Kluyveromyces lactis: one gene and its partner. The protein of the gene in region 2 purifies or fractionates together with the protein of the main gene of each other region. This does not show direct contact. Links are inferred from orthologs where the notes say so. Each region holds a gene or a part of one and is shown on either strand. Other genes may lie near its edges.

Region 1 (2,449 bases), on a different chromosome or scaffold from region 2:
GAGGCCGGTCTCTGCCTTTTCTTTCCATACATTATAGAGTGCTTGTATCCCTTATATAGGATCTTAATTAATGGGATGGAAGGTTATCTTAATCTTGGGCAACATATTCCGTTAGTACTTCACGAATGTTACTTAATATGATGTTTTCTTTTATTTGGTTTCTGTTACTGTTAGAAAAAACGCTGGTATACAAATCGAGACAGAATACACAAATTGCAGAGTGCTTTTAACGATAGTAATCTATATGATTTGATGACTTCGGTACATAGATATTAATATTTATTTTACAGATAGGTGGGTGTAAGTAGATGCTCGAATCAACTGGTATATGCCAATTGGAAATTAGTCTTGCAGTCTCAGTATATGCATTGCAAGAAGAGTTCAAAAATAGTAGTTGTGAAGTGGAAGTAGTTGGGGTTAATTAAACAAGCCAACACCAGGAAGCAATTAACGAAACACTCGGTGTTTTGCGATTATAACTTTCTCTTTTCCGGTTGTTCTGTCGACAGTTTTCATATCTCTACAAAGAGCTTACTTCCTTAACAATTTCATCGAATGCAGCACGGTATTCTTCTTCCTTAGCCTTAGCATCTTTCTTCTTGTTAGAGCCTGGAACGATGAATACAACAGAAGTAGGTCTCTTGGTGGCACCAGCAGAACCTAGATCTTGCTTCGAGGGCACAAAGATATATGGAACAGATTGGTCTTCACACAAAACTGGCAAGTGAGAAATAACATCTTGTGGGAAAATATCACCAGCAATGACTACTAACCCTTTATCACCCTTTCTCAAAGCCTTGACAACCTCTTTGACACCTCTTTTGACATTCTTAGCCTTGGAAGCCTTCTTGACGGTCTTTAACACCTTTTTGTTCAGTTTCTTTGATGCTAGAGGTTTTGCAAATGGTAGAACGGCAGGAAGTCTAGCTTCGTAGTTGTCTTCTGTTGATACACTCTTATCCTTGGCCATCTTTGTTATTATGTATAGTTCTTCACTGTTCCCCTGGTTCAAATAGAGCGAGCAATTGATTGAGAAAGGAATCAATATCACATCAGCAAGATAGGTTCATCGATTCATTCAACAGTTCAATTCTCATACTCATCGCTCTTCTTTTTGTTAACAAAAAATGAAAATTTTCCAGTACCGAGTAACATGAAAAAGAAATAAAGTATCAATTACAGTAGGGACGACATAAATTAATCCATGCGACACATAAACAACTTTTCAGAATATCGTGCCAGCGTCTTGTTTCGGAGGTGGTACATAGCAGTTGTAGAAATGTCCATCGCCTAACATTATTCTGGATGAGTCCCTTTAATTTCATACAAAACTTGGAGTTTTAAATGGCGAACAATATGTACAATGATTAAACTCTGTAGGAGAAATTAGCTGTTCCAGGTGCAGGGCATTATTGTCCTGTGATCACTTCACTTGTATAATTAAATACTTTAAAAGGTTTAAATACTCCATATACCTCTTAATGTCAGGCAATGTAGTCTTAGTAAACCTTGAAGTTTGGTTATAGCATCATTGAAAATTACAACACACAAGTAACTTCTCTCGGTAGCCAAGTTGGTTTAAGGCGCCAGACTGTAATTTGAAAACACAAAGCAATTTGTAATCTGGAGATCGGGCGTTCGACTCGCCCCCGGGAGACTTATCTTTTTTTCGTTTCCATTTTGTTTTTGATCATGATCGTTTTCACTAAAGAAAAGTTCCAACCTTGAAGTTTATTGAAAACACTTTGGCCTGCGATGAGATGAACATGGAAGATGTGTGCTCGACAAGATACAGTTTTCACCGTTATAATACGGTATCTGTTGTTGCATAAATTGGACGGTTCAAACTGTTTGCTTGTTCGAGGTCATTAAAGAATACTTGGTTTGGCAAATTGCCAAATATTAAGGTCATCGTCATCAATATATTATGACTGGGGATTGGAAGAACCGACCAGCAAGGGTTCAGTTACAGGAGTCTGACCTACCTTCATCAGTACCGCCTCAGACGGGTTTGGCTTTCAACGTATGGTACAACAAATGGTCACAGGGGCAAAGTGGGTCCACTAGGTTCGTCACACCGTACTCGCTTGATCCCGAGAACGATTCTGGTATCACTAAAGGTGATAAAGAGGGTCGGATTCATTTCTGTTTGTATTTCGCTAAGGGAATGTGCTGTTTAGGCAAAAATTGTCGGTACTTGCATCATATTCCAGAGCCAGATGATTTTGCGAGGTTAGCTTTGCATTCCTCTGCGTTAGATTGTTTTGGAAGAGAGAAATTTGCTGATTATAGAGATGATATGGGTGGGGTAGGTTCCTTCAAGAAACCTAACCGTGTCTTATACGTGGGTGGTATTACAGGGGCACTCAACAACAAAACTTTGAAACCACATCAGATTGAGAATAGAGTGAAATACAAGTTCGGGAAACTTGGAGAATTGGATTCTGTT
Region 2 (2,897 bases):
AAGTACGCATGTACCGACGCCTACTAGTATCTTCATTCGGTAGTACAAGGAACTTATGACCGTTTAACATTTTACCTCATCGAACCTTTGAATAGTAGGAACATCTATATCCAAATGCTTCAAGCGATCGCCAATAATGTATCCATCTACTTCTTTTGCCAGAATACAAGGCAAATCGCCAAAACTATCTCCAATATAAGTTATGCTCTGGTCCCCTTGCACTTTGTCTAAATCGCAAATCTCTTTCAACATCTCGTACTTGTCCCAACCGGTCAATATTTGCTTTGTAAATTGTCCGCTGTAAACTTCCCCATCACGTGATTTTAATTCGTTACAGTAGATATCCGATTTGGAAATACCCGTTAGGTCGTGTATGAGGTCCTTGGACCAGTTCAACGAAAGCACGTACGTCTTGTTATACTGCTGCATCAGCTCCTGTAATCCAGGTCTGATATCTACTTTTTCCTTAACGAGCTGCAGGAGATCTTTGATCACCACATCTTTAAAATGATCCTGCAATTCTAGTTCGTTGATTGAACTTAGCTCACACCTTCTGCTTGCACGTTCATAATCACAAACCACTTTCCAAGCATCAGGTGCCAAATTCTCTGGTTTTGGAATATAGCATTCCTCGTATATCTTGGTATAATGAGTCCATGCGACAGGTACTGATTTCAAATTGTAAACAGATTGCCCAATGATACTGGTGGTATCACTAGTGGTGATAGTGCCATCAAAATCAAGTACAAGAATCCGTTTCAACATAATTTTTTCTTAACACAACTCCGACCAGCCAATGTTTTATCTAGCGTGAAGGAACTGGTCTGCCATACTTGCCGAGTTTCCATTCAAGAGTTCAAGATTTAATGTGAAAGAACGATTTCATTTTGTTTGGGATTTAAACAAAGGCTATTCCTTAGTGGAGAAAAAAACTATTGAAAGGACAAGAATAGAGAGAGGTCTACATTGGGAAATTCTAAGAACACATTAAATATAATAAAAAGAATGTAATCAAGCTTCTATATTAAGTCCCCGTAGTAGTATCGTAGGGACCCAACTCAAACTGTTGATTTTGGTATTTCAGTCTATGCTCAGGCCCAATTATGATTCTCGAGGACAGAAATACTAACCGTTGAATAAAACAAGAGAAGAAAATCCTCTCAAGTCCAACACAGTAGTCTGAACCAAACGATGAGACCCAGCCGAGCAATAAGTTTATGATTGGTAGACTAAAAACGAAATCATATGTCAGAAAATATCATTCGAGATGAGAATATAAAGTGGTACATACGAGTTCAAAGTTCATTGAGTCCATTTGAATCTTTTTTCCCATAGTAAATAAAGTATTTCTTTTTGAAAAACTGAGCTGAAAATTTGGTGAAAAGAAGAGCTTTAGATGAGATGAGATGAGATGAGATAGTATACAGAGTATATCTGAACTGTAGAAACTATTACTGGCTCTGTTAATATCATAGAAATATAGCAACACAGCAATAAACAATATATTAAGATGTCGGAACACGTACCTGCTTGGAAAAGGTTCCAGATCAAGAAGTCAGAGGAAGGGAATCAGATCGATGATGAGCTAGACTCACTCATTGTGTCTACACATCTTTCCAACGGTTCACTTTCGAAGAAAGAGAAGAGAAGGATTATTAGAGGTGGCAATGCGGATAGTAAAAGCACTGGCAACAAAGTTGCAAAAAAGAGTAAAGACAGGAAAAGAGAGAAATTGGCCAAAGAGGATAGACTTAAGAAGAAGGAAACTGTGTTGAAGGATCAATTGAGGTATTTGATCGATTTCTATACATTGAAGTTGGAAGTGGAGCTGCCGGAAGCCGTGAAAGAGCTTCCTAGTGTAAAGGAAAACGTATCAATTATATCACCCTCTGAGGAATTAGCTGACAAAAACGTAGTAAGAGATGTATGGAAGTTCAGTAAACAGAAACAGAATTGGCTCATCAAACATTTCGTTATCACTGATGAGATCCCATCAGCATTCAACCCGCTATTAGTGAGATATTTCCAGGACTTACAGGGTGGTTCGAAGGCTCAGCTACAAGAAAGTTGTTTGGATGTTATCGAGAAGCAAAATAAATATCTAGAGCAGCAGAAAGAGGAAATGGCTAAGATTGTGCTGGGAGAAGCTACAGAAGCATCCAAAGATCAAGAGAAACAGAGCGCCGATGATGAGTCCAAGGATAAAGATGTCAAAACAGAAATGTCCAAAAAGTCTGACGAAAGTGAAGAGGATACAGCTAATAAAATAAACGAGATCCTACCACCTAGCCAAGAGCTACTGGAAAGAGTACGTTCCATGCTCGATACCTGGGGTGTTAAATATGAACTAAATAGCTGAATAGTGCGTGTAACTACTTTTTATCATTCAATAAAAGAAATGGTCACGTGATATTATCATCACTACCGCTCGGCGCCTTTTTCCCATTATCAGAAAAGGTTGAGTGATGGATGGATACATCTTAGAAGCATCATGACAATAGCAATGATCACGACGAGCGAATGCAGTACTTTCATTGACCTGGAACCAAGCCGGGCCATTGCAATTCCTTACAGTATTCATGCAATCAAATTACAGGGATAGTATACATTGTAATGAATCGAAATATCGAGACTGTAAATGAAGAAGGATCTTTTGTGGTTGATCTTCTGCGAAAGCCCTTTAAACTCCCGTCACGGTACGATGATCTCCCGTGGGAATCAATCGAGGAGTCAAAACTGACTGAAACAGATATATTGGATCGAAAACATGTTTTTCCGCTGCTCAAAGTAATGCCGATACGTCTCTTCACAACTGACATTGAACGAAGTGAAATGTTCGAATCTTTGAAACAATACTGTCAAACGGAGCGATACAACAAATTTGGTGCTGATTGGCC

The links. The genes of interacting proteins can lie anywhere in the genome.
Region 1: the proteins of RBP95 (region 2) and NHP2 purify together in Saccharomyces cerevisiae (affinity purification with mass spectrometry; 3 studies listed by BioGRID, with this or other methods). This does not show direct contact. The link is inferred for Kluyveromyces lactis from reciprocal best matches to the Saccharomyces cerevisiae genes RBP95 and NHP2.

What each region holds. Positions count from the first base shown.
Region 1 is NC_006039.1:1,336,057-1,338,505, forward strand, and holds NHP2 (snoRNA-binding protein NHP2), read right to left. Parts: upstream 971-2,449; coding exon 521-970; downstream 1-520. Other genes in the region: SNU56 (Snu56p), read right to left, coding at 1-32; active spliceosome conformation promoter CWC2, read left to right, coding at 1,928-2,449. UniProt on the Saccharomyces cerevisiae protein: Non-catalytic component of the H/ACA small nucleolar ribonucleoprotein (H/ACA snoRNP), which catalyzes pseudouridylation of rRNA and is required for ribosome biogenesis.
Region 2 is NC_006037.1:956,729-959,625, forward strand, and holds RBP95 (RNA-binding ribosome assembly factor RBP95), read left to right. Parts: upstream 1-1,510; coding exon 1,511-2,359; downstream 2,360-2,897. Other genes in the region: POL4 (DNA-directed DNA polymerase IV), read right to left, coding at 1-70; CTO1 (Cto1p), read right to left, coding at 64-765; KLLA0_A11088g (uncharacterized protein), read left to right, coding at 2,614-2,897.